3 linked regions of the Drosophila melanogaster genome follow. The protein of the gene in region 3 purifies or fractionates together with the protein of the main gene of each other region. This does not show direct contact. Each region holds a gene or a part of one and is shown on either strand. Other genes may lie near its edges.

Region 1 (8,958 bases), on a different chromosome or scaffold from region 3:
CAACGTTCGAGGAGACCTACAAGTTCAAACCCTCCTCCGTACTGGAACACCCTCGCTTGCTGTATGGCTTGCACTTTATGCTCGGCAAAGACATAGTGCCAAAGGCCAACGAAATGAAAGGCAAGCCTAACTAGAAATCTTATTCCAACTAGTGGCTAATCGGTAATCTCCCACAGTCATCATTCACAGCGCCGGCGGCAAGGTTCATGCCCAACCGCCTTCGCTGGCCATCAGCGTGGATCTGTACGTGGTCACCACCAGCAAGGATACGAAATCTAAGCGACGTCTGAACAACTATGAAAAGGTGCACTTCATCAAAACCGAGGCTGTTATGCAGGCGCTCGTTCAACACAACATTGAAATGCTACAGGAGCACACGCTCAAACTTTAAACGTTATAGTTTTTTTTTTTGTGTGTTCTCCGCTTTTTGTTATCATTCGTTAGCCATTATTCCAAAATTGTACATCACACATCGAAGTCCCAGACGAAATCTCGTTCATACCTTAAACTTATGATATTTGTATTATATATAATTGTTTGTATATGAAGTTTTGGTTCCATCATAACTGTGGCCGCACAATATTTACTTGTTACTTTCCTAATGCCTGTCAAATACATCAATTACATACGTCTAACACTACTCCATCTTTTTTCGCTTCGAGCCGGTGGGCTTGTCAAACTGCTGCCTCATGCCGCCGGCGTGTTCGTTGTGGAACTTGATGTTGCTGGATGACTCGGCGTACCAGGGCGAGTCGAACTTGGTGGTGTCCTGGTCCACTAAATGAGTGTACTTGGTGCGGCCGCAGCGGCCGAAGTTCTTCACCTGCATCACCTTGGGCAGAATGGTCTTATCGAAGTGATCCTCCAGCGTGGCCTGGGCGAAGTCGCGCTTGAGGACGTCGTTCTCCTCATCCAGGTAGAAGGCACCACGATGATAGTACTTCTGCAGGAACTTGTACTTGCCCTTGGTGGCCTTGTTGGTGACCACCTTGGGGTTCTGGCGCAGCTCCTGGCGTCGCTCCTCTTCGGTCATGTTGCGCATGCGATCAATGTCCAGCTTCTCGCGTTCGACGCTGAAAGAAAAGGGAAAGAATTGTTAAAAAGGAATTCTAAGAGCAGTTTGATGTTCACTTACTTATCACGTTCCTCGCGATCCCGCTTCATTCGCTTGAGTTCACGCAGCTTCCAGGCCTCGTATTCCACCTCGTCGTTTTCGTCGTCCGTGCACACGTCCTCGATGCAGGCCTCATTGGTCTCCGGCTTGGTCTTCTCCAGATCTTTCTTGACGCTCTCCTCGACCATTCGCAGGGTGGCTCTTCTGCGCTCCTTGGCTGCCCGCTTGGCCTCCGCCTCCAGCTGCTTCTGCTTCTGAGCCTCTCGCTCCTTCTCCTGGATGGTGGCACGATCTCTCTTTCGGACGAAGAGCGGCTTCAGGCGGGGTTCGTTGTCCTCCTCGCTTTCGGTCTCCTCCTCGTACTCGGAGCTTTCTGATTCGGACGATTCCGACTGTTTCTCATCCTCTTTCTGTAGAACCTCCTCCTCGCGCTGCTGCTGCAGCATGCGGGATCTCAGCTTGGTGCGCCGGTTCTCCAGCTCTGTGTCGCTGAGCTCCGCATCCGTGTCGGATTCGGATGCCAGTGTGATCTTATTGGTGCCCCGCTGAATCGCTCCCTGTGCTCCCTCGTCTTCCTCCTCGTCTTCGCTGTCACTCTCCATGATTTCCGGTTCGTGGATGTGTCGGTGGCGTTCCCTCCGCTCACGTTCCATGTCCTCCATGTCTACGGGTCGCTGCCGCAATCTTCGGAGGCGTGGATCGTCCACCTCGGCATCGTCCTCCTCCTGGCCCTCACCCGCCGCCCGCTCTTCGCCCTCCGCGCTGCCGCCTTGACGGGAGAGCTCCAGCTTATGCCGTTCCGCCTTGTGGCGCTCAAGGCGCTTCCTGGTGTCAATGAAGTCATCGTCGTCGCTCTCCTCCGAACTGGAGTCCGCACGGGCGTAGTCGGGTCGCTTACCGGATATGTATCGCTGCACCTTCACCTTTTGCATGGACAATTCACCTATTGAAGAGATATGCAGCTTATAAACAATTTCTGGTGAGGATCGAGCTTCGCTGTTTACCTTTCTCATTGCGCATGGGAATGGCGCCCGCTGTGCTCTGGATCCCAGAAGCGGCGGCGGCGGCGGTGGCTGCACTCATCGTGGTTTTAACTTATAATCCACGGGTAATAAGCAAATCTTTGTATTTATTCCTTGTAAATATTTCCTAAATAAAAGTATGGTAAATTAGAGATGGACAAAAGTATCTGAAAATAATCGATACTTTGCTTACAAATATTATCGATGCCTATGCAGCTCAGCAAAACCAGAGTGGCAACGCTATCGAACAAGGCCCGCAATTTGAAATATTAAGAAAGTTTTACTACATATATATGGTGAATATTGAATTGCAATGACGGAAGTGCGATGACTTCGCAAAGCCAGAATTAAGGCCAGCAACTAATTGAGACATTCGATAATTGAAAATATTAATACACAGAAAGAAATGGAGCAATTTATTGTTAGACAACTATATATTGGAAAAAACTATTGAAAGTAAGAAATTCATTTTCATTTAAGCTTTTTTGGATTGCAAAAAATTTAAACATATATATTGGGTTCCTTGGTGAAAAGGAAAATGTTCTTTTCTGTGCTGTTTTTATAAACAAGTGTTTTAGCAATGTCAACGCCCACTCTCATTAGTAAATTAATTGACTACTACGCTTTCTCCAATTCCCATACGATGGATAGAGGGAGGACGGAGGAGGGGTGCTTGATCTTGTGTAATGCCGGAATCGAATCCAAAATTCTTTTTATTGGTATTGCGTATTTTCAGTTTCGACAGCACGCAGCCAGCACGTGTGAAGATTGTCTTGTAATGTTTGAAAAACCGTTCGGATCTGATGTGATGTGATTTGATACCCACCCAACCGGACCAAAGTCCGAAAGAACCACTTGGCGGACGAGGGGCTCGACCAGTTTTGTGACGTCTTCGGCCACTTGCATCCGAGGAACAGAGTTAGCTGGATTTGCTTTGGATATGGATGGGGATGGGGATTTGGAATGGAATGGAATTGGAATGGCATGGGATGGGATCGTTTCGGGCCTAAACACCGAGACGCATTTGCCGAACTGCTTTTAACTGCTTTTCGTCGGCTGAGGTAGTTGAATGGCCAAGATTTACATGAGACTGTTAGTTAACGACATGGCGGGCATATTTAATTAATGCAACACGCTTCATGCTTAAGTGCATATCTGCCTAGCTAACTCACTGACCTTTAGAAAAATGGGCGTCGATTTGGTGACTTTCCGCTTGGGGGGAAGTACCTGCTGAATATTTGGAGACCCCCTTTCTTTTTGCCACTACATACTAGATATGTACATACATTTTACATTTATCAATTTATTGCGATTTGAACTCTTTTTGAACTGACCGGCGCCGTTTCAGTTCAAATTTAAATTCAAACTGGGAATACATTTCAATTAGAATTAAACACCCACACTGGCGCACAGGAATTGTAAACAAATAATTTTCTATTAGCGGGAGAAAGAGTGTCATTCCTGATCAAAATCGTACCAGATCGAACTCGTTATCGTTATCCAAGTAAAACACCACATAGCCAGCAATTGAGGCGAGGCGACAAGTGTACAAAAAACGAAAGATATAATCGTTTCCATTATTAATTGGCGCACTTTTTGCCTTTGTGACTCGAGTTACTTAAAAAGTAATAAAGGGTGAGACAAATGGAAATATTTACACATCACGCAATCCCAAACTGGCCAAGAACCAGCAATTAAACTTTTATGTTTGTTTACAGCGCATTTCACTTGGCTCAACTTGCCACAATTAACAATCGCCATCGAGGGATATGCAAAGGAGTTGGAAAATACCGGATATTTTCCGGCCATTCGTGGAGCGTCTTCTGCAGAATTGAAAATGAATCTTCGCATATGAATCAGAGCGTTTCAATTCCCTGAAATTAATTGATAGCAATTTAGGAAACGGTTTGGCAAACATTTATACACGATTTTCAATTAAACGTTTCCTCAAGCTTATTTTACTTATACCCATCATATTTTTATATACATTTACTTAATACCTACATACCTACCTGATTATAAGTTTCCTATCATTTTCTCAATCTACTAACCTTTTAATTTAAAGTTATATAATATTACATTAATAAACATTTAATATTTAATATCTGTTTCATTTATAGTATGAACCATAATGTCTTTGGTTTTATTTTTTAAAATAGGCTTAGTGCCCAGAGTCTGTTGAAAATAAGTTGCCTATATCTTAGCACTCCACACGACCATTGGCTGGCGATCGAGTTTCCCTCTCCGTGGAGATCGGCGATATCATATCCGGCGACGCTTCGCCTGCTCTTAGATCGATTTTCTCTCTTCTTCGCTTTTCAGACCCCAAAGAGATCTCGATGTGGTGGGGTTCCCGAAGCTGAAGCTGGGAGCCCGAGATCTGAGATCCGAGGCCTGAGATCCGAGATCTGTGATTTGCCTGCGCCGCCTTGGGTGTTGTATAAAATAGCGTAACGGCCGCTTGCAAAACTCATTCATTTAAAAATTGTCAATACGTTCGAACAGCGATCGACGACGAGCTGGGAAAAAAGGGAAACAACTAGTGCTCGAAGTGAAAAAAAAACTACGGCAAGGACTCGGCTCGAGGAACCAAATCCAAACAGTGATCAGTTTCATTTTGTGACTAACTAAGAAAACACGTTAATGAAATACAGAAACAATCGTGGCACAATATTGCAAATCCAGTTCAGAACATTTCTAAGATACAGTGCAGCAAACCTAATTCCATTTGAGAGCTAAACGAAGACGACAACCGAAGGATATCGAATTTGACGAATTGAAAAATTACTAACCAAGGTGAGAAGTTGTTCAGTTTTTCAGTGAAAGCGGCAATGCATGCCAGTGAGTTATTTCGAAATTTATCATACCGATTGTCACTGATAATTGGTAGTTGCAAAATATCTCAGAACATCAGAATAGTAAAAAGCATTAGCCCAAAGGAAATTTATTCCAATTACTCATGACTAACTAAAACTAGAGTAAAAAGTTGCGAGGGCAAAAACAATTTGTAAAATGCATTTGTCGAACAAGCTAATAAAGCTGAAAGTATTTATACCCATTCCGAAGGCATTTTAATATTTTGTCGCTTGTGTTACTTCACTCTGTTTTTTAGCTGGCTAATCTCGCCAGTTTTGAACTAGGTAATGTTTGCAGCTGTCGTGGCCGTGGAAAATCTCCTTGCTTGCGATTGGTATCTTCTGCCAACTTGTCAAGCGGACTATTTTGTTTAAATTAATTATAATAGAATAGAAGCGAGTTCGCCCAGACGAGATAAAAAAAAAGCCGAGGAAAGCAAAACAAAACACGCATATTAATTGGGCTCGAAGACGATGATGATGCCATTTAATGGAAGCGAAGGGCCTTTGGAATGGGCTGGGCGAAAGTCCACCAATTAAGCCAGACGCCTGTCCTCAACCAGAGCCCACAATTCATTTGACCCGTGTGTTCCTCCACCAAGGAAAACGGGTTTCACCCCAAACACAAATAGCCAACAAACAAATGAGCAATAAATATGATTTCGTAGTTTAGATTACTCAAATCAGAAGTTTGTAAACTTGAATAAAATATTCTACGATGAGCTAGAAACTAGAAGGAGCCTAGACCATTCCTTACTGGTATTTTCTCTCTGTGCATCTGGACATCTCTCTTGTGGTCGGGCCTTTTGCTCTTAGTTTCCGGCCTTGCCTTCGGAGACTTGGAAGCTGCTCTTCGAAGATTCGCCGAGCGATGGCGAATTTCTGGCCCAAACCGGCGCAATCCGGCTCAGTCCAATGGCCACCGATCTAAACCAGTTGAATTCGCTTAAATCTCGATTGGCGCGCTCGCACTCCCCATTTTCGCTCAAACATTGTAGCCCAATCTATTCGCCATTCAGGCCATATGGTGCATACATGTCCATGTCGCACAGGAGCAGCTTTTCTCAAATGGTTTGATTGGCCGGAAAAGTGGGCGGGGGCAGTAGAGGCGCCAGGAGGAGTGAGGAGGCGCCATGGCTTCTGGTCTCATCAAGAATAATTGTCGAGTGTTGGGGATCAATTGAATGGGGGAAGTGATTGCCATCGTTGATCAGTTGCAGAATGTGTGTTTTATGATTTAACAATTAAGAGGAGACGGAGGAGGCATGTGTAATAAATTTAAGTTACTCAAAAGATAAGGCTTGTGTAATGAATTCAAATACTTGACAATTAAAACGACAAGTAATTGCATAAATCAGCAAGGAAATTGAAATATATTAAAAAAGTTTGTTACACATCGAGTAGCATTATGCAATGAAATACATCCTAGAATTGGCGTGAAATAAAATCAAATATCTTAACAAATTCCTTACCACTTGCAAGCCGTGCGATTTCTTTTGGCCAGAAATAACCAGTTTGAATAAATCAACGACCAGTTTGAGGCAGCTTTCTGCTGGGCCTTCTTGCTCATCGCCCGTCCACTTGTAACCCCAAAAGAGCCATAACTCTGGATCTGGGAATCCGAAATCCACAATCCGAAAAAGAAATATCACCCAAAAAAAAAAAAAAAGAAGAGCGTTGCCTTGACTGCCGCCCCATGAAGAAAACATATTAATCATAAAGCAATTACGCTCAAATGGAATTGTTTGTATAAGGAAATAATGTATTTGTACTTGAACATGAGACGCTGGCCAATGGTCGATGGCCTCCCCTCCTCCGGATCCAGAGCCGCAGATCCAGATCGTTTGGTTAATTAATTAATGGGCCCCAAGATGACACCAAGTGTGACACCCACGGTGCGATGGTGCTTTGTAATGCCGCCTCGTTGCAATTCCTCTTTGCGAACCTTGATCTTGCCAGTGATCCAAGTCTAAATCGCTTCCGATCCGATCTCGTTTCAGTTTGCGCACACGTCGCCGGGTGGAAAGTCGGCTGGAGAAAGTGATCTCCCGGAAATCGCCATCCTTCGATCCCCATCCTTAGTCCTTGCTCGTGATCCAGGATGTTCGCCACCCAGGACACCATTCTGAAGTTGCTGACCCTGTGCGCCCTGGCACATTCTATAACCGCATTGGCCCTGCAGGAACGGTCTCCGACTCCAGGAGGATCTGCTCCCTTGGATTCCAGCCACAAGTACTTGATAGTGCGCGGTGAGTCGCCCAGTGAATCCCAGGAGCATGTGGAGTTCGATAATGCCGCCACCCTGCTCCTGAGAGCCTTCAAGAATCAACAGATTCCCGCATCCGCGGAGCTGGAGGAATGCAGTGCGCCCAGTCACAAGGCCACCTTCTCGGGCTACGACTACGTGATTCTGCTGGGCATGCTGGTCATCTCGCTGGGCATCGGCATCTTCTATGGCTTCTTCCAGAAGGGCGGCAGCTCGTCCAACGAGTTCCTGCTGGGCTCCGAGATGAGCATCTTCCCGGTGACACTCAGTCTCACGACCAGCTTCATCACGGCCATCGAACTGCTGGGAAATCCATCCGAGATGTACTTCCAGGGCACCCAGTTTGTGCTCATCGTAATACCCATGGTGATTGTCATTCCGGTTGCTGTGAAGATCTTCTATCCCATTTACTTTAAAATGGAGCTCACCAGCTGCTATGAGTATCTGGGCATTCGGTTTGGCAAGGAGATCAGGATTCTGGGTGCAGTGCTCTATGTCATTCAGGTGGGTTCTGGGATTTAACTCGAAAATGAATGAGATTTATATATAGACTCCTTCTCCTTCAGATGTGCTTCTACACGGCTGTGGCAGTCCTGGCACCGGCAATTGCTCTGTCTAAGGCCACGGGACTGGACACCAAAATCGCCGTGGTCCTGATCTATGTGGTCTGCGTTTTCTACTCCTCACAGGGAGGCATGAAGGCTGTAGTCATTGCCGACTCCTTCCAGGTGAGTAACGAGATGGTGGAACTCATCAATACGAGAAGATATATCTAAATCCTTTTAGGCTGCTGTCCTGGCTGTATCCTTGGTACTGATCGTGGGCTTGGGCTGCTTCTACAGTGGCAATCCCATCCAGGTCTTTCAGACTGCTTCCGATCACAATCGCTTGGAGTTCTTCAAGTGAGTTAAGCCAAATGAATCCAAGGACCTTAACAATTCTGGTTAATTCTGCAGCATGGATCCCGATCCCACAACACGTCACACCGTCTGGTCGGTGGTCATTGGTGGCTTTTTCTACTGGACCTCGCTGTTCTGCACCAACCAGGCGTCCGTTCAGAAATGCATGTCCTTGAAGTCCTTGAGGCTAGCCAAGATTGCTCTGGGCTTTGCCATTATCGGCTTAATTGTGGTCTTCCTGCTGAACTTCTACACGGGTCTGATGGTCTTCACCCACTATGCGGACTGCGATCCCTTGACTGCTGGACGCATTTCAGCCACGGATCAGTTGTTGCCCTACTACGTGATTAATACCTACGAGCATATTAGCTCCGTGGCGGGAATCTTTGTGGCTGGCATCTTTGCTGCCAGTTTGGGGTGAGCTCTTAAACTCCAGAACAGCTTATGGAAGTCTTATTCAAAGTTTTTCCTTCTCAAAAACAGCACCGTGGCCTCTGCCTTGAACTCCCTGTCCGCTGTGACCTGCGAAGATCTGCTGGTCAATGGCATGAACATCAAAATCTCTCCGGAGAAGGGAGCCACCTATGCCAAGTGGATGTCCCTGGGCTTTGGCATTGCCTCCTTCGGCTTGGTCTTCATCGTGGAGCACCTGGGAGGAGTTCTGCAGGCCACGCTTACCCTCAATGGACTGATTGGTGGTGTCACCCTCGGTCTCTTCGTGCTGGGAATCGCCTGCAAACAGGCCAATACCAAGGGCGCCTTCTACGGAGGACTCTTGTCCCTGGCCCTGGTCATATTTGTG
Region 2 (10,798 bases), on a different chromosome or scaffold from region 3:
CGACCTGGCGAACTTCTGCAAAGTGATGAGGAAATGAATCAATCTTGTTGGTCTTTAGTGATTTAATAGATCAGCCACACACCTTCAAAGTCCACGTCTCCGACCAGCTTAAACTGGCCAGTGCTCTCATCCTTGATGCGGTTGATGCCCACGTCGATGACACAGGCTCCGGGCTTAACCATGTCCTTGGTGATCAAACCCGGCTTTCCCACTGCGACCACAATGATATCCGCTTGGCGGCAATGGCGAGCCAGTTCCTTGGGCGGTGTATACCTGTGGCAGATGGTCACCGTGGCATCCATTGCCTTGGTGGCATACTTGCCATCCGCGTGCAGCAAGATTGCCATCGGTAGACTGACATTCTTGGAGCGTCCCACCACAACGGCGTTACGACCGAGAGTTTCGATTTTCATATGCTCCAACAGTCGCTTGACTCCCAGCGGCGTGGCCGGAATATTGGCCTCCATGTCCAGAGCCGTGCGTCCGATGTTGACCTCATTGAAGCCATCCACATCCTTGTCCACATCGACGGCATTGCAGATGGTGCGCTCATTGATGTGCTCGGGTACCGGCAGCTGCACCAGTATCCCCGTGACCTGGGGATCCTTGTTCAGATCGGCAATCAGTTGCAGCAGCTCCTCCTGCGTGGTAGAGGCGGGCAATCTCTTGGTCTCACTGGAGATGCCCACCTCCCGGCAGGCGACCATCTTGTTAGCCACATACTTCTCGCTAGCCGGATCCTCGCCCACAATGACGGCCGTGAGATGGGGCTTCGGATAGCCAGCAGCCTCCATTCCCTTGAGCTCGTGTGCTAGTTGGGTGCGCACCTCCTGGGCTATGGCCTTGCCATCGATAATTTGAGCCATGTTGCTGGAATGCGATCATAATATTATTTAATTGAATGAGATTACACTGTACTATTCCTTAAAACATTATTTAGTTGCGATATTCTTGAAAAAATATAGCAGGAAAGGTCATAAACCGGGAATGATAAGGGCTGTCGGTAAATCCCCGCCTGTCACTGCAGTTACGCAACAGTAATTCCCCCACAACACACACTTAGGCGCATAAGTACATGTATGATTCACCCACTTGTTTACCAAGCGGCGTGCGCGAGCGGCAATGAAAAATTAGTGATTCCCCATTCTTAGAATGTACTTTTTAATGCCGAGCTATCGATGGATCCCCTTTTGCTAGTGATCTCATGCAGGGCGCCGATGGTAATTGTTTGAGGGAACAAGTTTAGATTGCTTATAGAACTATTCTAAAGAATAGATTCCATGGAATAATAAAGGAAACTAAATAAATGCTAATAAAGGAAAATAAATTAATGCTCTGATATTTAAAAATAAAGCTTGCTATCCCAGGCATCCTAGTTTCGCGTATTTTTCATTCCACAAGAGAATAGTATTTGTAAAACTAAGGTACTTTATTGATCAACATTCAATACATAATCAAGTTGGGTTAACCAGTAGGGCGTAAGCCTGTGGATCCACTGCCTGCAGGGCACGAGCAAATGTGGAAAACTCTACAGAGGCTCCTTTTCTTTTCACGTGATCCAACAGATCCTCCGCGCCCAGCCATATAAAGGCGAACTGCTTCAGATGCGTCTGGCGGGCTAGTTGCATCCATTTCCGATCTTGGGGATCGGACCCATGTCCCAAAGGCTGATTCAGCAGCGAACAGAGCCGGTCGTAAATGAATTTGTTTTTGAGCAGCAACTGCAATTTGTTGTTGTCCATTTCGGTGTCTCTACTGGATTCATCTTTCTGTCTTCTTGGACCACTACTTAGGTCCAACTCCACGGAATCCTCGTCCTTTGTTTCGATGTCCATCTCCTCGGACTTGATCTCCAGCTGACCAGCATCGCTACTTTCGTCCGACGATGAATCGATCTCCTCCTTGACCTTACATGGAATCCAGGTCATGGCCAGTTCTCCCTTCTCCGGATACACATTCTTCAGCAGCTGGACCACCCGGTCATTTGCCTTGCGTTCGGCCAATTCCAAGGGAGTATGGCCGGCTGCATTTTGTGCCTGCAGGATGTCGGTAAGGTTTTCATTTTGGGCATCCAGAATGAGCACCAATAGCTCCACACTTTGCTCCAGAACTGCCATGTGGAGTGCATTATTACCATCCATTGTGTTGGCCACGCTAATCGAGGTCCGATCATAGCTGATCAGTTTCTTGGCCACATCGTACTTGTTCTGTCGAATGGCCATGTGCAAAGGCGTCAGACCATCGTCGTTCGTTAGCGAGAGGTCCAATTGTACGGTTGGCACTCCATTAAGGAAGCTTTCCACGCAGCTTAAGTGCTCCTCCTTGACGGCCACATGCAGTGGGGTATTTCCGGCATTATTCTTCAGATTTGGATTGCATCCCATACCCAGCAAAGGTCGTATGTAGTGCGCTCGGTCTTGCTGGCACGCCACATGCAGGGCACTATCACCGTCCGCATTCAAAGTGCTATTGACCACATCTTTCAGATTGAAGTAGTTCATCACCTGTATCGTCTGGATGGCCAGCTTCAGTTTGTCCTTTTTGTGGCTGATCACTTCGTGCAGGAGCGTGTCTCTATTGTAGTTATTCAGAGCATGCTCGATAAACCACTTCTCCACTTTGTGGTGCGAGATTTTTATTGGCGATATGCGGTCCTGTTTGTAAATTTCGAATAAGTCATCCAAGCATTTAATTGTACGATTTCGATGCGATGGCACTTCCGCCCGGTTATGACCATCGTGCTGCAACTCTCCCATGTCTAACTGGCAGATCTTCTCGAGATCAGAAGAGTTGTGCTCGATAAGTTTGCGGAAATCTTCGGAAGCAATAAATTCATTTAGATGCTTTTCGCGTCCGAACTCCTCACTTATAGTCTGATCATGCTGTGAAAGGTTTGGCAAGCCATTTGGTGGCTGCGCCAAGCCCAGCGTTTTGGGCAGATCCAGCGAGTTATTAGAGCTTTCTGTTCCCGAACTGCTGCTATTGGCAGAGGACCCGGTTCGTCGGCGTTTCCTCGACACAATTACGCTCCGTGGCTTGTAGCGGAAGGGCAGCGCCGGGAATGAGCGCTCATCGTCGGAGGGACGAATGAGCTCGATGTACACGTTGACCTCGCGGTCCACGTCCTTATCTTTGTACGGAGGCGTCTGGCACACAATGGCATATTGGTGGTGTACATCCGATTCGCGGAACTTTGCGTATGCCTCCCACACGGTTTCCCCGTCCTCATCCTCCTCGAAGAACCTCACTTTAATGTTCTTCTTGCTGACCTTTTCCACCAGTAGAATAAGCTCATCGTTGCCCATCACCCCGCCAGTGGGTTTGCTCAGGCGGACGATGCGAAGCTCTCCAGTTTGTGCCGACTTGCGGTTATTGATTGCATTGCTGTATACAGGCGGTGCAAGTGGAACCCATGCGCCGTTGTCCTCAATTTTAAAGGCCTCAAAGCAGAGCCGCACCTAAAGTTGGTGTTACTTTTTTAGTGAGTTCTTTGTTGCTTTTCAGTAAGTTAATTGCTTCGATGTTATATTGCTCAGTTATTTTAGCAGAGAAATTTATATAATTCGAGCTAAACGAGTAGATACTTTACAGACTGCTTAAATAAAAAGATTAAAAGGTAGCAAATGCAACCTATAATTAATTGACTAAAGCATTCTAAAGTGAGCAATTAAACGTGTGAATAATAAATGCAAACGTGCATATTCACCTCATCGAAGCAAGCAACTCGATATTGTTTACGCGCTGGTTTACCCACCTGGTTCAAGTTCATGTCCTTGGCCTCACGCTCTGTCTCCTGATGCAGTTCCTGTAGCTGTTTGTGGGACAACTCGCGGCGGTTCATCTGAAAGACCAGGCGATCCTGCTTCTTCTTGCACAGTTCCTCGAATATGTACTTCTTGGCGGTGTGTATGATGCCCATGTTGATAAATTGCGCCACATAGCCGCGCTCCTTGGACACGTGCAAATCATGCGGATCGCACACATCCCGATCGTCCTTGCGCACGACCAGCTGATGGGAATGTGGGCTGTCCAAGTTAGTTTGGAACAAACTGCACCGGATGACGGCGGGTCCATCGTAGTTGCACAGTGTAACCTCCGGGAAGGTTTTGGGCGTCCGCTTCGAATTGGCGCCATTTAGCGATCCATGTGTTCCATGCATCTCGCTCTTGTACCGAAAGCGGAACTTCTCCACCGGTTGCTCAACGATCCGCAGCTGCGGCACGTGTTTGATATCGCCGTCAGATGCCAGGCCATTTTGATGGTATCCAAAGTTTTGGGACGGTGGCACAGTGGCCGGAGCGGGCACAAAGTACTGGTGATCCATGTACATGTTGCCAAAACTGGTGACATTAGCAACGCCGAAACTAACGCCAGTGGAGTTTATTAAATTGGTAGCACCCAATTGGCAAATTCCGCCGTTGTTCAACAGCTGATTCTGGTATGGTGAGTTTGCCATTGGCGGCTGGTGTGGTGAATTGCCGCCGGGCAAATTAAGATTGGCGAAGTCCGTTTGCAGTTCCATGGTTTTCGGGGAGTGGGCTGGTGAAAAGGATCGGTTGGTGGAGTTGGGTGATGTACTGCTGCTATAGCCACTGGTGCTGGATGCATCGTTCATAAACATCACATTTTTCCCATTGTCCAGGTCGTAGTACTGATTCATGTTCATAGTCCGTATCAATCCAATATTTCTGATCAATAGCGTCTTAACAACTCAAAAGTGATCCGCTGCCTTCGCCGATCGGAACGCTAATGATCGAAACGAGCTCCGCCGATGGCTGACCATTCGTTTTAGGTACTTCCCCGATGTTCGGCGGATGGGAAATTATCTGCGGCGGCCACGTCGAGATGACTCACGGGTTTTTCTGGCGCACCACTCAGTGTGATTTTTTTGATCGGCTATACTATAAGCATGTACGGAATTCTGGATTCGCGGTTGTTGTTTACAGAGCGAAATCACACTGTTTATATGTATTCCACCCAACTAATACATATATGCAAATTTATGGAAAAACGACGCAGCGAATCGGGGAACTTTAGTGCGCCACTGCTGGAACGAAAATGAACGAAGCACTGCGCGAACACAAGTAGTATCGCTCACGAGTTGCGAGCAAAACGCTCGCTGCCCTGATAACAGGTTTAAGCTATTTGCGCCGAGCTTTCGGGTCAGCTTTTCACGGAAACTACGGTTCAAATTCATTTATTTGAATACCTGATTTCAACACACCGCGCACACTAAAATAAAAACAAGGCAGAGCTGCCACCGGCAGATAAAACGAGTTGGGTGGCAACGCCCCAATCAGATGTTCTACAAATCTAGGGATGGAAGCGTACGCGATTGTTTGTTCCCATTATTCTTGATTAATTTTTATAAATATAATTTAACCTATTTCGACAAAAAGATATAAAGGTATATAATACAAAATATTAATATAAATAATACAACACTTATATAAATATAAAGATATAAGGAATTTTAATACAAATTTATAATGAGAACCGGCGTAACAACTTATAACTGTGTTATAAAATAATAATAATTATGCAATGCAAGTACCGAATATTAGTATTATTAATAATATATTTTTACGCTTTCCATTGGCTTTTCCCTTAATTCACTTTCGTCACGCACTCATCTCTAGCGCACGCTTTGTTTTTCTTCGTATGATATTACGTTTTATTTCGGACCCGATTCACTTTCTTATGAGCATACACACCTGAAGTTAGACTTTCCGGCGTAATTCCGGGAAGCCAAGACCGAAATGGATCCTATAGAACGTCGCAACATGGTTGGAAAATTTAAAACACCGGAATGTTCTTTTATCCTAAGACACTTGTGCTAAATGATAAAAAAAAACTACATAAGCATGCGCCACTGAACTAATTTGCAATTCAGTCGGTTTCCACTCCCACTGGACCCGCGCACACACACACGCACACTCACGCAGAAACAGCTGATCTGTTGCCAGGCTGCACTTAGAGTATATATGTATGTATTTACGATCCCTTTGCACTTTTTGATGTGTTAATCAATCTTCTCACTTCGCCGTTCCTCTCTTACTCTTGTTACCATGCCAAGGTGTGTGGGTGTGTGTGTGTAAATGCTTTTACACCTTATCAGTTGACGATGAGTTTGTTTATATTGATAATCAATTAGCAGGAAAAACATAAACAAATCGGGGTCTTGACTTTGCAACCACTAGTCTGCGTCTAGACTAGAGTTATTAATAGGCAGGCTACAAAATTAGCTCTTTATGCGGACAAAGGAAAATTCGTTTTCTTGGCTTGATAAAAGCAAACGTGTCTTAAGAACGCCTATTCAAATTTCTTTGAAGGTCAATTATGTATTTTTTATGGATTTTTGTTAGCCAATTTTCACTAGCAGCATACCTTATTGTGACTTCTTTTGTTGGCTTTTGCGAAATTTTCCTGGTGGAAAATTCGAACTGCACTGATTGTCGGATACCGATGGACTGTATAGAACGAAACAGATCACTGAATGAGCCTCGCACGTGTTTGTATATTTTGGATAAAAGCTTTTCGGTTCAGCGCACTAAATATGCGTGTGCGAGCGAGCGCGACTTAAAAGCTTTAAACACTTGTCGATAAAAGTTTTGAACTGTGTGCATATAAATATGGCTTAAAACGGAACAAATACATATGTGCATATATGGATTTTCGATTTTGAAACAACGCGGAAAATAGCTAAACACATATTGAACATATTTTATTTTCTCAACATGAAAATTTTTAAAAGTTCGCCTTGTGTGCACAAATATTTATTTAGGAAATTCTTAAAGACGTGGAGAACAACTTTTGTTGCTTTTATTACCAGTTACATGATTACGATTTTGGTTGGGAATATTTGCTGTTCTAAAATTTCCGACACGAGTTATTTTTCAATAGTTTGTTTTTCTTCGACGCGGCGGATGACGAAATCTGATTTCCGATTACTGCACTCGGAGATTAAGTTGGATTCTGTTGGCCGGTGACGTCAATTTGCTCCACAGGGGGCCACCAACGTCTCCCACTGATAAGCCTTTGAGTTCAGCCCCCTCTGATCACCCATTACCTATTCCATAAGTTATGGAATTGATGCACAAACGCCTGGTAACTGGCGATTTTTGTTTTTAGCCAGAGGAAAAACAATGCAGGCGTCATTAACAATGTTGTTCGCGGACGATGATTGCTCCCGTTTTGGGTTGAAAAACATGTTATTTTCGAACGGAGATAACCCCCGTGGAAAGTGCGAGTGGGCTGCCCAATGGGAGTCATGCTTTAACAAGCTTGTTTAATTTACAACTGGAATATTTCGACGAGCATTTTACTTTCTCTGGTCGTTACAAATTTGTGTCCCAAGGATGCGTGATAGAAAATTATTGTGAATTTATTGTCAAAATTGTTTTAAGCTATAGAACTATTTTCGAAGTTTTCAGAAAGAAAATGTTTTGTCCTTTATTTTTCATTGTAACTCATGTTTTCAAAACAATAATTAAGAACTAAAAATGCTTGTAGGAGAAGCACATGGCATAATTAATATATAGCTATATTCGATGAATAATGGAGATGTAACAAAGTACGGATTTCAAAAACTCACCTTGTGAATCGCATTTTGAATCGAGTTCTTTTAATAACTGAAAACGTTTGATCTGTTGAATAATATCTGATGTCCTATTAGAGTTTATTGCACTAATATACTTTTAAGCTCGTTAAATATTGCAACACTTTTTGTTTAAAGTATTCTATAAAAGAACTTGGTTTCACACTTGTCGCTTTGGAATATTTAAAAGAAGCGCGTTGCAGCCCTTTTTATGGCTCTTAAAACGGGTATTTTTTAGTACCTTTCTAGTTCGAAATTTCGAAATTGGCCTTAGATTAAAATATTTCAGGGGTAGACAAATTGCAGATTTCTCAATAACCAAGAATAAAACGAAGATAATGCTGCGCACGTACAATTTTATCTGTATGAATAATCTGATACTGTTGTAAATTCAACGCTTAACGTTTGAGTGTGTCTTAGCAGTGCAAGTGTGATGCATCTTTTTTGGTTTATTTATGCCAACGCCATCTGGCCACACTGCAGTGAAAAGGAAAACAAGAAGTCGCAAATCCAATCTCCATTGCAATTTTGAACACCATTCCTTTGCATAACTATTGCCCACGCAACTGCATCTCTGATGCCCACAGACTGGCGATGAAGCCCCAGAGCAAGCGGAAATCATTCCCATTCAATGCGCCTCCTCCGGGCGGTATCATGGACTTCGGATTCGGGAGCTGCAGCACCTTCGGCAATTCGGTGGAGAATGATCTGGTAAAATGGCAGCATAAGCGAAAATCCGAGCAGCCGGCACCGGCAGTGCTGTAAGCTATATCCTCAACACAACATCCACATAAAATACTAACCACAGAACTCATTGCAGACCACCCAAAATGCTTATAACCGAGGAGAGGATCACCCAGCATTTCAGCGGTCTATCGCTGGATCCGAAGATCAATGTCGCCGCCACGGCCGTTGTTAGCAACAACAACAGCGTGGCCAGCGTTACGGGCGGACTGGCCACGGATGATATACCATCCACCAGCACCGGGAAGACCCACCACCCCAATCCCGCCTATCAAATGGCGGCCATGGAACTGGAGCAGAAACTGCGCAATGCCAATCGCATCGTAATTTGTGATGGCCTTAAGCCAGGATCGGGTCCCGGTTCCGCTCCACCTGTAATACCACCGGAGTGGCTAATCAAGTCCATACCACGTCCCTGCACCGCCTTGGTCCCTTGGCAGCCTTCGCCACTGCAGATGCCGATGCCGATGCCGGAAGTCAAGATGGTGTCGCCCCAAATAGTGGCACCCATGGCTGCGGCACCGGCGGTCCAGGAGCTGGATGACTACGATGACGATCTGGAGTTCTTCGAGAACAACAACACGTGCAGCGTGAATCTTAACAAGTCTGAGCAGGAGCACATGGACGAAGACCTGTAGCGATAGCCATATAAAACCCTAAACCATAAGCATTAAAGTGTAGATTTGTATGTCCGTAACCGTAAGAACCCAGTTGATAGCATGCAAGAATACTCCGCCTCCTTATTTTTTTATTACTATTGAAAATAGATAGATGTATGTGATTCAATCTGGAATGTTCCGGAATATTCGTTATTTGAAGCAAGTGAGTCGAGAACAGATAACTTTCGAGAGACGCAACGGCGGACGTCAAACGAACACCTGACTTAAGAAAAGTTTTTCTAAGATGAACTAATTCATTTTACTTTTTACATCAATTTATAAGCACTTTTTACAGTATATGAGTTTCTGCAGTAAAGTGGATCGAACGAGCTGAATCTACCATATTGTTTAAAATATACTTTACATTGCGTTTTTGGAATCGACCTTTCTTTGCTGGCTACTAAAATTAGAAAGATACGTATTTTTTGCAATTGATAAAGAATAAAGAATAAAACTGTAAGCAAAACTTTGTATGATCTTATATATATAACAAATAACGCAAAATGTTAAATAGACATAAAATTATGAATGCTTAAGTCCGATATTGTAAGAACCTCTTTGCATTTATAACATTTATATATTTTTTAATTTTGCCGAGCTAGTTTTCCGTTAAATTAACTGGTTGATTGTTTAAATGACTGTTTAAAATGATTTAATATTGAACTTTGGTATTTGGTATTTTTGGACAGGGCGGTCCCACTGAAACATTGGTGTTGGCCAACTGCCGTCATATTGAAAAAACCAGCAGAGAGGTCGGATCGCAGCGCTGCTGGATTTTTCAGCGATTCGCGTACGGAAAAAATCGAGTACGTCCGAGTGCGGATTGCCCAGAAATCCGTTTAAATAAGTGTTTATTTGGTAATTATTATTTAAAATACACACTTGTATAAGAGTGTGTGCGTTTTTGGTGCTGTGAAAAGTTTAGTGAACGGCCCCCACATTGACAGCGTATGAATTATAATTATAATTTACTTCATGGCGCAAGCGAAAAGATTGTAATTCGGAGAATGAGAAGACGAATCAGAACAAAAGCAAGGCGAACGGCAGAGCCACCACCACATATAGCACTCAAATCGCATCCGCAGCGGCGGAAATCTGACAAAAACTAGATACGAGGCGAAGTGCAAATTTAGAATTCTTATTACAAGTTCATGGGAAAGTGGCGAATATACGTGGAGCGTGATAAGTGAGCGTTTTTTGTGTGTTGAATGGCAAAACATCACGTTGACCGATGCACGAATGAGAGGGAGTATTTCGAGTACGCGTCGCCGGAGTCGAACTCACCACTCTAGTTTGTTTTTCCGCTTTCTTCGCGGCTCTCCCTCTCATCGCTCTCATTGCAGTGCAGTGGTGGAGCCTCTGGGCAGCGGCACACGCGTTGGGGGCCACCCCCCTCCGGCCGGTGAGCCACTGTACTTGCCGCGTGGTGAGTTTGCCGGCTGGGCCTCTGCTGCTGCTTCAGCTTCTGCTGGTGGGTTTCTTGTGCTCCGAGCTCTTGGGCTCCAACCTCTTGTGCTCCCTCTCATTGGTCGGCCAATCGTGTGTGAGTGAGCTTGTGCCTGTGCGCTGCTCCGCGTCGCGTGTCGGACCGTTTGTGTGTGGGAGTGTGTGCGTGTGCTGGCCGTTCAATTTGTGTGAAGTAATAAGCGTAATTAGTTTGTTGGTGCGGCGTCGGATTGCAATTCAGCTTAAAAACGCCACTAAATGTAAATGTAAACGTAAACGTCTGACGCATCATCTACATCTACGATTTTGTGATTTTCCAGCTCTAGTCTGGCCAATAGAGTCCGTCGAGTGG
Region 3 (12,558 bases):
TTGCGGATGGCAAGATATGCAAAATATCAGATTTCGGACTGACTCGAGATGTTTACGAGGACGATGCCTATTTAAAGAGATCCCGAGATCGTGTGCCCGTCAAGGTAAGACCTCAAAATTAACCCCCTATAACATTAATATTAATCCGGAAACCCCTTTTAAAGTGGATGGCTCCGGAATCTTTAGCGGATCATGTGTATACCAGCAAATCGGATGTGTGGTCCTTTGGCGTTCTCTGCTGGGAACTAATCACTCTGGGAGCCTCTCCGTATCCTGGCATTGCTCCCCAGAATTTGTGGTCCTTGCTGAAGACGGGCTACCGCATGGACAGACCAGAAAACTGTTCGGAGGCTGTCTACTCTATAGTTCGAACTTGCTGGGCAGACGAGCCAAATGGAAGACCCTCATTCAAGTTTTTAGCATCGGAGTTTGAGAAGCTATTGGGAAACAATGCCAAGTACATAGATCTGGAAACGAATGCCGTTTCGAATCCCCTTTATTGTGGGGATGATTCCGCCTTAATAACCACGGAATTGGGCGAACCAGAATCGTTGCAGCACCTTTGGTCACCTCCCAAAATAGCCTACGACATCCATGACCAGGCCACCAGCTACGATCAGTCTGAGGAGGAGATGCCAGTGACTTCAACGGCTCCGCCGGGTTACGACTTACCACGACCTTTGCTTGATGCTACCGCCAACGGGCAGGTTTTGCGATACGAAAACGATTTGCGATTCCCCTTAAATATTCGGAAATCCAGTTGTACTCCAAGCTACAGCAACATGACCAGTGAACCTCCAGCGACCACCTCACTGCCACATTATTCTGTCCCCGTGAAGAGGGGTCGATCCTACCTGGATATGACCAACAAGAGTCTCATCCCAGACAACCTGGACAGCAGGGAGTTTGAAAAGCATCTGTCCAAGACCATCTCGTTCCGTTTCTCTAGTTTGCTGAATCTCAGTGAAACGAAGGAGGTGAGTCCAGGATGGCAAGCTGAGGATGCAGTCTAGAAATAGTGTTTCCCAGAGTTCTAATCTCACGCCTGTTTTTCAGTTCAAACTGTTTGTTGATTAGTCTTAGTTTTACATATAATCAATTAGCTTTACGTTGACGCCAAATATGGATTTTAAGATAACCGATTTCGATTTCAAATACTCCCAAGCATTTATACACTATTTTAACTAGCCAAAGACAGCCTTAGTTTTTTTTATTATTACTTCTTATTACTTTTGCTTCAAAAAGCCATATTCTTAAAAGATAATTAACTTTATTTGTAAATTGCCAAGTTCGTCCTATTATATGCCAGAAGAATGAATGGTTATCCCAAAGAATTTTTACACTCAATAAATAAAGTTTTTAAAGGAATATTTGTGCTTCAAAAGGGGTTTTCTGTATTTGGATATTTATTTCAATTTAAGATTGTAAAACTCTGCTAAAGTAAGCTAGGTTGATTTATAATGTCCATTTAATGTAATAGCAGTCATAATATAAGTTTCAATTTATTTACGCCATAAGCTAAACAATCATAAGTAACCTTCATTATTAATCATTGAGTACATCTGGTACATCTTAAACAATCTCACAGGCACTCTAGATATTTAGGTATTCGAACCAATGTACTTATTTATCGATGACTTTTATGACTTTAATGAATGTAAATACTTGCATCTACTGCATATGTTTAAATTAACTTTTAAAAATTATTTGAAATAATATAAAATAAAATAAACCAAATATAACAGATAGCGGCCAATTGGGGCATCACTCTTCATCGGGTACCAGCAAGTTGAGATTAGCACTGCCTGCTAGGCAGCCCATAAAGGTTTCCTCGTCTCCTCTCACGGATAGAGTTTCTCTACCAGTCAGTATCTTTTTCTCCCGTATCATAGCCGTCCTTTGCCATCGCGACCCCTTGCAATTCTTACAGCTCTGTTTGGGCAACTTGAATACGGTAGTAGTTCGATTTCCGCAGTCTTTGCACTGAAAGAATCGCTTTTCAGCATCGACCACCTTTAAGGGGTGCTTCTGCTCCTTGCAGCGATCGGAAGCGGAAAAGGCTGTGTACTTGCACACCTGGCAGATGACGGCCTTGCATGGCATCTTGTATGTGGTCAGCATCTTCTCTTCCATCGCTTCCTTGCGTTCAAGCTTGTTAAAGTACTCTTCCTGCGCTTCGCGCTCTCGCATTTCCACGAGATTCGTATGCGATGAGGTGGCTGCCATTATTTTTTCGATTCTTGATTTGCGCATTAACTCCCGATCGTCCTCATCAATTTTTTGTCGCTTGGCGCTGCTAGAGAACTTCTCGTTGAGTTCATCGATGGCTCTTCTCTTCCCACTTTCACTGCCTCGTGTGGAGTTGGGGTTGATCTTCTCCAGTGGCTTCTTCTTCAGCAGGGCAGCTGCTTTCAGCTTAGCATTTTGTGCCTGGCGAGATCCTACATTGATTTCAAAGGAAAAGTTCTCGCTACCGGAAAGCTTGGGCGTTAAACTGGCATCAAAGGAGAAGCCTCGATTTTTGAATTTATCTGGAACAGGTGTAGTGGGCATACTGACAGCGGGTGTGCCTGCTTCAGATTCTTTTTTGTTATCACTTCCCAAGACATGGCCCTCCGCCTGCTTCTTTTTTTCAAAGCGCTCATTTTCCTCTTTAAGCAGACGCAACCGCTCTAGATCTTGGACTCTCTGTTTCCTAGACGCTTCCACACCACCAGCCAAACGGGAAACAGGACCGCCACGTTCTGCATATGGAATTTTAGTGGGTTCGGCTGTTTTGGGCTTTGAGGTGTGGTTAGCGGTATGGGCGAAGGGGGAAACATCATAGCCAGCCAGCATACTCAGACGATCACGTTCCTTGGTGATTAACTTGGCACTTTTTCTTGCGGGAACTGCAGTAAATGTTTGGCCGCCGTAAAATACCTCGTTTTTGCCTTAACATAAAGAAAAAACTAAGTTATATTGAGTTTTCTTCAAAATCAAAGTCTACCTACCCAAAACCTTGTTTCTTAGTTCATTGATACCACGACCTGCGGTCGCCGATTGCAGTTCAGAACGTCGGGACATCTTGCCATATTCCTGCTTTACATGAAAAATGCAATAATCACAGTCGGTTAGGTTAACCACCGAAGTGCACTTGTCCCCATTTTTTTTGGTGGCCCGACATGTGCCCAAATCTTTGGATTGACCCAGGATCATGACTTTCTGGGAGCTATCGATGGATAGGCAGGCCACATCGGAGCTTCCCGCTCTCCTCTCGAAAATAGTTGGATTCAACACAGCCAAGCACAGACCCTCCGCTGTTTTCCACAGGGATTTGTGGGCCTCTTTAAAAAGGAAAAGTGAGATCGTTTTAACCTCTCCCCGTAGATCGGATAGTTTCCACGTGGAGTAGGGATCACCCTTCTTGGTGTTTTTTACAGGATTTTTGGAAACCAGCGCGCCAGCAATGACCCAATCTTTGGCCAAATCGCCTCGCTCGATGTGATACGCAACGCCTGAGAAGGGCACAGGTTTCCTGCCCGTCATGCGCTCCTGCAGCAGTGAGCTGGAGACTAGCGGATTGATCATGCGCAGTCCGAAGACTGGATCCGTAAAAACAGCAGATACGGGAGCACTTGACTGGGATGTAGATGCCACGGCGGCAGCGACTGGCGGAGGACGTTGAAACGTGGTGCTCACCGCCGATTGCCGTTTAATAGGATTATGCGGATTTTTCAGGGGTTGCGGGGTGGATGTAACCACGTGGATAGACTTCTTAAGCTCCTGATCCACCTCCCTCGCCACCTTGGACTCGTAGGCGTTCTCCTGCTGCTGCTTCAGTCTCTTGTTTATATCACTGCCGTACTCATTGTACTTTCGTTCCAGGAAGTTCTTTACCTCCTCGTCGTCGGACGAGTCCAGCTCTGGTTCCTTAATGATAGCAGCATTCTTCTGCTTTTCCGGTTTCACGATCTTCTCGAAGGTGAAGGCATTAGCAAAACTGTTGTCTTCTCGTAGTTTTGGCACCAAAATGGGTGCGGTGGGTTTTGCTTTTTCTGACTCTGCAGATTTTGTATTTTCGTTTTCTGCTGCACCCAGTAGTTTTTCCAGAGCCAGTATTTCCTCCTCATCATCGATACTAATATCTGTTCCGGATTTCTGAGCAGGACCCATTTCATTTGGGTAGATTTGTATTTTCACGTGTTCTCGTGTTTTTTCTTGGTTTTCTAAATAAGCGCAATAACATATCTGTTTTGGCGGGCTCAGTGTGACCGGGTAATGTATATGGTTCTACAAAAAGTGCTCGTTTGTCAACACTGTACAAACAGATTATAATTTTAATTATAATTCATTATTTAAAAGAATACTTAAGCACTCCTAATAAAGAAGTAATGTAATGTTATTAAGGAATTTTCATTGTTTTCGAAATAAATATAAATTTATTTATTTGGTAAATATTAATACCAAAAACGTTCACAGCTGGTATTTTTCGTTTGCAGCACAGCTGGATTTTTCCCAAATCCGAAATATGGTCATCCGCTCGTCAATAAGTCATCTTTCGGCTTTAATTCGCGAAAAAACTGCAGGAAATCCAAAAGGAAAGTCCCTGGAAGCGGCCATAATAACGCAGCCGTGAAAATCACAGGGATTTCATCGCCAGCTGTGTCGAGCAGCCCTGGATACGCGGAAAAGAAGCTGCAGCAGCCGAAGAAATTTTGAGTGTGTGCGTGAGGAAGGAAAACGGGGGACCGCAAACAACGGATCGCGAATTTCGTCTTAAGACAAAGTCTTGCGCTGCTTGTCACGGTATTCCACGGCCTTGCCGACGGACTTCCCGGTTCTGGAAAACCGCAGCCAGGCTAAAACGAGAGAAGGTGAGAGTCGCAATATGGCGAAAAAGATCCCCGATCCCAGCCAAATCGCCATGCGGTGCTGCTCCGCCCACAATTCCGCACCCCGCCCGTTGAATTCGCAAATTAGCTTCAACCGCATTTGCCTTTGCTTTTGTTGCGATTTTTTGTTCTCCGCATTTGCAATTTTTTAAATGTTTTGCAAATATATCCCGTGGCCATTTTGTGGTTATAAGCGCCGCTTGTTGGCGGCTCCACGTGTGTAAGTGTGCGTGCCTTCTGCATGTGTATTAAATTACAACCACGCGGCCGCCCTCTTTAGTTGTTGTTGCTGTGGTTTGTGCCGTTTCTGATAACCTCTTGCATGTTGTTATCAAAAATGAGAGAGAGCCAAAGGAGGAGCACGGCTTACATCACAGACATCGCATCGCTTCAGTGACCTAATGCACTCCTAACCTTCGGAGAGGCTTTTCATATTGCTGCTGCTGCGTTTTTACACACTTCAAGAGAAAATAAATGGCAAACAAGAAGACTTGCTACCGTCGATTTGTCTCCTGGATTGTTGTTGTTTATTTTTGTTTTCTATTTTACTTGTGCACTTTTCAGCTCTGTTTTCGTTTACCTGCCATTTTTCTCCGCTCATCTTTCGCTCTCTCTCGCTTCCGCTGCCACTCTCCTCTTAGTATTTTCGCCTGTCATCTGGCGGTCAGTAGCCGGCGCCCTCCCCCCTGACCCCATCACCATTACGTTCCGTTTCCTCCTCACATCCTCATCCTCATGCATCGAAATTTGTATTTTAAAATATATGTACTAAGTCGCCGATTACTTCGGGAATTCGAAAAGCATGTTCCTGACCTGCTGTTTTTCTAAATTCTTTGATGGGACAAATGTGTCTATAAAATTAAATGTTAACTTCCATGCTTTGATAATCTACTTTAGTATGTAGAAGTATATAGCATTGACAGATACTCCTGGCACAAAAATTCGTTTTTCATGTTGTTAATCCAAATTCAGTCTGTTGACCAAAATTATACAAAAATTATATCTATTTAATATTATTTTAAAAAACCAAACTATGATCATTTGGAGCACTTTTTCCTATGGTATCTATGATTTTATGCTGGCTGTGAATACACTCTGTCTTAAATTCTAACCACGGTTAAATAAACAGGTATTATTAAGATTAAGTTATAGGCTTATTCATATACGTAAATGTTTTATATTTGGTCAAATAAATAATACCCACAGAACGTAATCGTCGCGATGCACAGCGAATCATTTTTGGTAGGCGTCTCTCGGCCTTGTTTTTCGTCGCTTGTAAATTTCTTTCCACATTGCACAAATCATCTTTCTGTGACAAGAAAATATTTGCCAATGTTTATTGTCTATCGTAGAGCGTCCTGGCCAGCTGCATGTTGAATGTTTCTGCGAGTGCTCCACAAGATATTGCCGGTATGTGAGCCTTCTGTACCACAAATCTCAATCTCCGCGATTGCCCCAATCCGAAACCTATTTTCCCCACCTCCTAGCCAGCTTTTAGCCTTGTTTCTGTAGCGTCGATTGCAGCCACAATTGGAGTATAAATAAGCAGCAGAAGCGCGTTTACCAGCCAGTCGAGATTCGGTGTTTGTTTCTGCGATTGCTTGACTGACACTCAAATCTTTGCTCTTTTCAGTGCTGCAACGATAAAGAAATGAACTCAAACATTTTTCTGGGCACAGCAGAGAATGGCCTGCGGCATGATAAGATTGTTATACTTGATGCGGGAGCACAGTACGGCAAGGTAAGCTTAAAACCAAGAGTAGTTTTAACCTCTTCTTAAAATGGTCCTGGTTTCTCCGCAGGTTATCGACCGTAAGGTACGCGAACTCTTCGTTGAGACGGATATCCTTCCTCTGGATACGCCAGCTGCCACGATACGCAACAATGGCTATCGAGGCATCATCATCTCCGGCGGACCCAACTCAGTCTACGCTGAGGATGCGCCCAGCTATGATCCCGATCTGTTCAAGCTAAAAATACCTATGCTGGGCATCTGCTACGGCATGCAGCTAATCAACAAAGAGTTCGGGGGCACAGTGCTCAAGAAGGATGTTCGAGAGGATGGCCAACAAAATATCGAGATCGAGACCTCGTGCCCGCTCTTTAGGTGAGCCAGGAAATATTGATTCCCAAAACAAGCAGCAACAAGAAAGTGCTTAGGCTTAAATGCGTTTACCTAAGCGCTGATACAATGCTGCCAGAACAATTTTAAAGCCAAGAACAGTTTAGTTTAGAGTAGTTTATAAACTGATCTACACGTGGCCTAACATATTATCTATCATTACCATTAATTATTCTAATACATGCAATTAACAAACATAACATCTTCGTTTCCCGCAGTCGCCTCAGTCGCACACAGTCCGTGCTGTTAACCCACGGAGATAGCGTTGAGAGGGTAGGCGAGAATCTGAAGATTGGTGGCTGGTCTACAAACCGCATTGTGACAGCCATTTACAATGAAGTACTACGCATCTACGGCGTACAGTTCCATCCTGAGGTGGACCTCACTATCAATGGCAAACAGATGCTATCGAACTTCCTGTACGAAATCTGCGAACTGACACCTAACTTTACCATGGGTAGTCGAAAGGAGGAGTGCATACGCTATATCCGTGAGAAAGTGGGCAACAATAAGGTGTTGGTGAGTTTGGGAAAATAAATTTTCAATCAAGACATGAATATCTCAATACAATCTACATTTTACAGCTCCTGGTCAGCGGCGGCGTGGATTCGAGTGTCTGTGCAGCTTTGCTCCGCCGTGCTTTGTACCCTCATCAGATAATTGCCGTGCATGTAGATAATGGTATGACAGTAGACAGATTAGCGAAATTTATTCATTTATATTTTTTCTACGTCAAATAATTCATTAACTCGGTGAATACCGAATTTATATCATTTGTACTTTAAAACCTAATATTTTATCCCTTACTTCAAGGTTTCATGCGCAAGAAGGAAAGTGAAAAGGTGGAGCGTTCACTGCGCGATATTGGCATTGATTTAATCGTCCGAAAAGAAGGCTACACGTTCCTTAAAGGCACCACGCAGGTCAAGAGGCCCGGACAGTACTCCGTGGTGGAAACGCCGATGTTATGTCAGACATACAATCCGGAGGAAAAACGCAAGATAATTGGTGATATATTCGTCAAGGTGACCAATGATGTAGTAGCCGAATTGAAACTAAAGCCCGAAGAAGTTATGTTGGCCCAGGGAACCCTCCGACCAGATCTGATCGAGTCCGCCTCTAGCATGGTGAGCACGAATGCAGAAACAATCAAAACGCACCACAATGACACGGATCTGATCAGGTAAAAAAGCAAAAGTCTAAATTCCTAACCAAATTTTAGTGATCAGCTTATTTTTTGTAATTCATTTCTTCAGAGAGCTTCGTAACGCAGGACGTGTGGTTGAGCCCCTTTGCGACTTTCATAAGGATGAAGTGCGCGACCTTGGCAATGATCTTGGCCTGCCTCAAGAGCTTGTGGAGAGGCAACCCTTTCCGGGTCCTGGCCTGGCAATCCGCGTCCTTTGCGCTGAGGAGGCATACATGGAAAAGGACTACTCAGAAACTCAGGCATGTTAACAATTAATTGCTGTCAAAGTTATTATAATAAATATACTATTTAATTGTAGGTTATTATCCGCGTGATTGTAGACTACAAGAATAAACTGCAGAAGAACCATGCTTTGATCAACCGCGTAACGGCGGCCACGAGCGAGGCGGAACAGAAAGACCTTATGCGTATCTCATCGAACTCGCAGATCCAGGCAACTTTGCTGCCCATCCGATCAGTGGGCGTGCAAGGTGATAAACGGTCATATAGCTACGTAGTAGGCCTATCCACGAGCCAGGAGCCCAACTGGCAGGATCTTCTCTTCCTCGCCAAAATCATACCGCGAATTCTGCACAACGTGAACAGGGTGTGCTATATCTTCGGCGAACCCGTACAGTATCTAGTGACGGATATTACGCACACCACACTGAATACTGTAGTTCTTTCGCAGCTGAGGCAAGCCGATGATATTGCCAATGAAGTAAGTGGATTTGTCATAGAAATAAATAAAATGTATTATATCATAACCGTTTTAGATCATAATGCAAGCTGGACTATACCGGAAGATCTCGCAGATGCCTGTTGTTCTCATACCCGTGCACTTTGACCGCGATCCCATTAACCGCACACCCTCGTGCAGAAGGTCGGTAGTGCTGCGTCCGTTCATAACGAACGACTTTATGACTGGTGTGCCGGCTGAGCCCGGATCCGTGCAAATGCCTTTGCAAGTGAGTCAGTTTTCAATCTTTCTGAAAAATGTATATTTAATCTTTTCCTGCTCAAAGGTCCTAAATCAAATTGTACGCGATATATCCAAGCTGGATGGAATCTCGAGGGTGCTGTACGACTTGACAGCCAAGCCGCCGGGCACCACCGAATGGGAATGATGCGTTCAAACCAAAATTTTTAACAGCCATTTCATAAAAATAGATGAGAGAAAAAATAATCAACCAACCAATAAGCGGCGGGCTCTCGATAATAGGACAATGGCCAATCAATGGACGGTCAGGAAGGATAAAGATCCAACGGCGGACGGATCGACCCTTGCCTTCGAGCACTTCACAGCTGCTCCTGCCTTTTAGAGAGACACGTTAAACGAGCAATTCATGAGGCGCAAATACAGAACTGCAACTGCCGCTTCGAAATTTAAAAACAATTCAGGTTCTTTATATCGATGATGCACGTATGTGTATCAAGATCTAAAACAGATGGTAAACTATTTGCCAATAACACTTATGTACATTTTCATGTTTTGTTCCTTTTGATAAAAGGAATGTGCCCACAAACCACGTAACAAACAAAAAAAAATTAATTTACGCATTTTTAGTTATATACATATAATATATATAATATACATAATAAATAATTGCAAAATCACAAGTTTCGAAAATTGTATATTTGCTAGAGAGAGAAGTGTTTTCATGGCAAAAGGCATAAACGATTCTAAGAATACAAAACAAAAATATTGTAAGCTAAAATTATGAATTGTTATATAAAACGTCAATATTTAAAAAATGGCAAAACCAGAAAAACAAAACGATTATGATACAAGAAATGTAATAAAGCGAAAAATCGATTCAAATGTGTTTGCATTGCATTTTTTTATTTTGAGATATTCAAATCAAGGCCTATGGTCTAATCTTTGTTTTTGTCAAGTAATAGGGACCGCCACTAGTAATTTTTTGAATTTTTTGAAAAGCGTCGCGGGAGAGAACAAACTTGCTATTTTGGAGATTCCTCAACTTCTCAAGCGAAGCCATCTTTTCTCTAATGGGCGTACGTTTACGTTTTTCCTGAACATGTCGCAGGTTTCTAGACGGATTCTTTTCGAGAGTAGGTCCCGAAGGCTTAAGATGCATTGGCTGAGTAAAAAGTAGAATAAATACTAAAGTGATTTGTTCGTTAACTATAAACATACAATCTCTCGAGGGGGTTTTCCCCCTTCTCGGTCAAACATGTGATTTAGAAACAGCAGATTATCTGAATAAAATAGTTTTGGCTGCGGCGATTCACCCGAAAACTTTGCACCCTGCTCTTGTATGCGCTCCATCTCAACTTTATAGCGAAGCTTGTGAATCATATGTTTCCAAAACCCAGATGGCGAGTCCGCTTTCATTTCATCGGCAATCGCATCCCAGATTCTGTCTTTGAGCTCGAAATTGAAGAAATCTTTGTTGCGCTGATTCCACAAGCATTTGTGATCTTCATACAATGCGATTAACTTTAATTTAGCCTTGGCGGTCTTCATGAACTCCGGGCTAGGTGAGAAGGTGATGGGGGTCTTTCGCAAAGAAGTGGCGTCTGTATAAGTGTAGGAGCCTGTGCTGGAGTCAAAGGACGTTGTACTCTGTTCCTGACGCTTAAGTTTTGCAGCCAGTAGGGCTCGTCTTCTTCCCAACGATGGCTTGTCGGAGAGTGAAAAGAAATCCGTGCTGGAAGCAACGGAAGTTTTACTTTGAGCTCTGCGTTTCATAGTCCTAGAATTGGATTTACTAATAATTTATATTTGATTGACAATTCGACATATTTTCCAAAAGCTATGGGTGAATAATTAAGTAATCTGCCCCAGTAGATTCTATTATTGATATTATGCTTTATTGTGCAAATTGTTGTGTCTTACGTCTTATAATTGATAAAATTATGTTAATAATGAAGAAAATATAGAGGACACGGGATGAATTGACGGCACTTATTGTCCGCTTTTTTGTTTTAACTGTTGTTTATTAAATGAAAGAATCGGTTTAATACATATTACTTGAGTTTTATTCGCACTTAAAACAGTTTCATAGTAGAGGCAATCTGTAGAGCATTTGGACAAATTCAAAAAGAACAAAAATTGAAGGAAACGCATGCATAGCCAGAATTAAAAATAAAATTGTGTATAATTATATATATAAAACTCTTACAATTTCTCGCTATCGTTCGGCTACATAATTCACTTTTAAAGCTGCACACTCGATATAGTCAAAATATAATATAAACAATTTGAAAAGAATTGAATAACAATACCATAATTCGATTGCTTCCGTTGTGAATTTGAGTGTGTTCACCTACAGGAAGAAGGTTGGGATCAGGCTTCTTGACTGGGTGTCTTAAGTAGGTCCAGGACCATTTACTGGGCCAGCTCCTTCATGCGGTTGAGAGCGCTGCCGGCCTTGAACCAGCCGATCTGTAGGTCGTTCAGGGTGTGGTTAAGCTTGATCCTCTCGACCTTGTCGCCATTCTTGATTTCGGCATCTACGGGCTTTCCAGGCGCAAGGGATTTCAGGTTGAGCAGGGAGATTTTGCTCGTGGGCTGGATCTGTTGAAGTACAAAGATATGGTTAATATGACCTTAGTCACAGAAGCTAAGAGTCGCAAACCTTATCGTAATCAGCGGGATTGGCGAAGGTGAGAGGCAGAAGACCCTGTTTCTTCAGGTTGGTCTCGTGGATACGGGCGAAGGACTTGACGATAATGGCACGACCACCAAGGTGACGGGGCTCCAAAGCGGCATGCTCGCGGGACGAACCCTCGCCGTAGTTCTCATCGCCGACGGCCACCCACTTGATGCCGTTGGCCTTGTAGTCGCGGGCTACGTCGGGAACTCCTCCCCAGCTACCGTTGCGTTGGTTCTTGATGTTGTTCATCTCGTTGTTTTCGTAGTTGGTGGCTCCGATAAACATGTTGTTGGAGATGTTGTCCAAATGGCCACGGTACTTCAGCCAGGGTCCGGCAGCGGAGATGTGGTCAGTGGTGCACTTTCCCTTAACCTTGATCAGCACAGTCAGATCGGTCAGATCCTGGCCGTTCCACTTGTCAAAAGGCTCCAGCAGCTGCAGACGCGTCGACTTGGGGTCGACAGCCACCTTGACATTTTCGCCGCTCTGTGGGATTTCCATATTGATTCTTAAGAACAATATAAATCAGTTTGGGAATTTAAATGTACTTACGGGTGGGGGAGCAGTGTAGGTGTCCTGGCCGGGATCGAAACCCTTGGCGGGCAGCTCGTCGCCGAAGGGAGCCTTGAGCTTGAACTTCTTGCCATCAGCACCAGTAAGCTCGTCGGTCAGCGGGTTGAAGTCCAGACGACCGGCGATGGACAGAGCGGTGACCAACTCGGGACTAGTGACAAAGCAATGGGTGGCCGGGTT

Evidence for each region.
Region 1: the proteins of bur (region 3) and Mfap1 purify together in Drosophila melanogaster (affinity purification with mass spectrometry, with the first as the bait; one large-scale study listed by BioGRID). This does not show direct contact.
Region 2: the proteins of bur (region 3) and Mst85C purify together in Drosophila melanogaster (affinity purification with mass spectrometry, with the first as the bait; one large-scale study listed by BioGRID). This does not show direct contact.

What each region holds. Positions count from the first base shown.
Region 1 is NT_037436.4:1,934,415-1,943,372, reverse strand, and holds Mfap1 (Microfibril-associated protein 1), read right to left. Parts: upstream 2,306-8,958; 5' UTR 2,198-2,305; coding exon 2,119-2,197; intron 2,058-2,118; coding exon 1,136-2,057; intron 1,074-1,135; coding exon 638-1,073; 3' UTR 501-637; downstream 1-500. Other genes in the region: mu2 (mutator 2), read left to right, coding at 1-120, 177-391; CG46523 (uncharacterized protein), read left to right, coding at 4,780-4,875; CG5687 (uncharacterized protein), read left to right, coding at 7,093-7,761, 7,824-7,985, 8,044-8,159, 8,214-8,573, 8,640-8,958. UniProt on the Drosophila melanogaster protein: Required for pre-mRNA splicing.
Region 2 is NT_033777.3:9,042,770-9,053,567, forward strand, and holds Mst85C (Mst85C), read left to right. Parts: upstream 1-5,875; 5' UTR 5,876-5,986; intron 5,987-6,387; exon of another isoform or gene 6,388-6,478; intron 6,479-7,594; coding exon of another isoform or gene 7,595-7,608; exon of another isoform or gene 7,609-7,786; intron 7,787-8,051; exon of another isoform or gene 8,052-8,184; 5' UTR 8,185-8,191; coding exon 8,192-8,358; intron 8,359-8,417; coding exon 8,418-8,979; 3' UTR 8,980-9,462; downstream 9,463-10,798. Other genes in the region: Nmdmc (NAD-dependent methylenetetrahydrofolate dehydrogenase), read right to left, coding at 1-15, 83-870, 7,595-7,608; Rel (relish), read right to left, coding at 1,455-3,458, 3,755-4,666.
Region 3 is NT_033779.5:21,171,628-21,184,185, reverse strand, and holds bur (burgundy), read left to right. Parts: upstream 1-4,502; 5' UTR 4,503-4,856; exon of another isoform or gene 4,857-5,776; intron 5,777-6,507; 5' UTR 6,508-6,525; coding exon 6,526-6,615; intron 6,616-6,676; coding exon 6,677-6,981; intron 6,982-7,009; exon of another isoform or gene 7,010-7,146; intron 7,147-7,214; coding exon 7,215-7,515; intron 7,516-7,580; coding exon 7,581-7,677; intron 7,678-7,809; coding exon 7,810-8,179; intron 8,180-8,252; coding exon 8,253-8,445; intron 8,446-8,504; coding exon 8,505-8,906; intron 8,907-8,961; coding exon 8,962-9,153; intron 9,154-9,210; coding exon 9,211-9,312; 3' UTR 9,313-10,004; downstream 10,005-12,558. Other genes in the region: Ret oncogene, read left to right, coding at 1-104, 165-1,013; Mcm10 (minichromosome maintenance 10), read right to left, coding at 1,765-2,933, 2,994-4,155; CG31627 (uncharacterized protein), read right to left, coding at 10,054-10,287, 10,344-10,898; mAcon1 (mitochondrial aconitase 1), read right to left, coding at 11,538-11,726, 11,788-12,291, 12,358-12,558.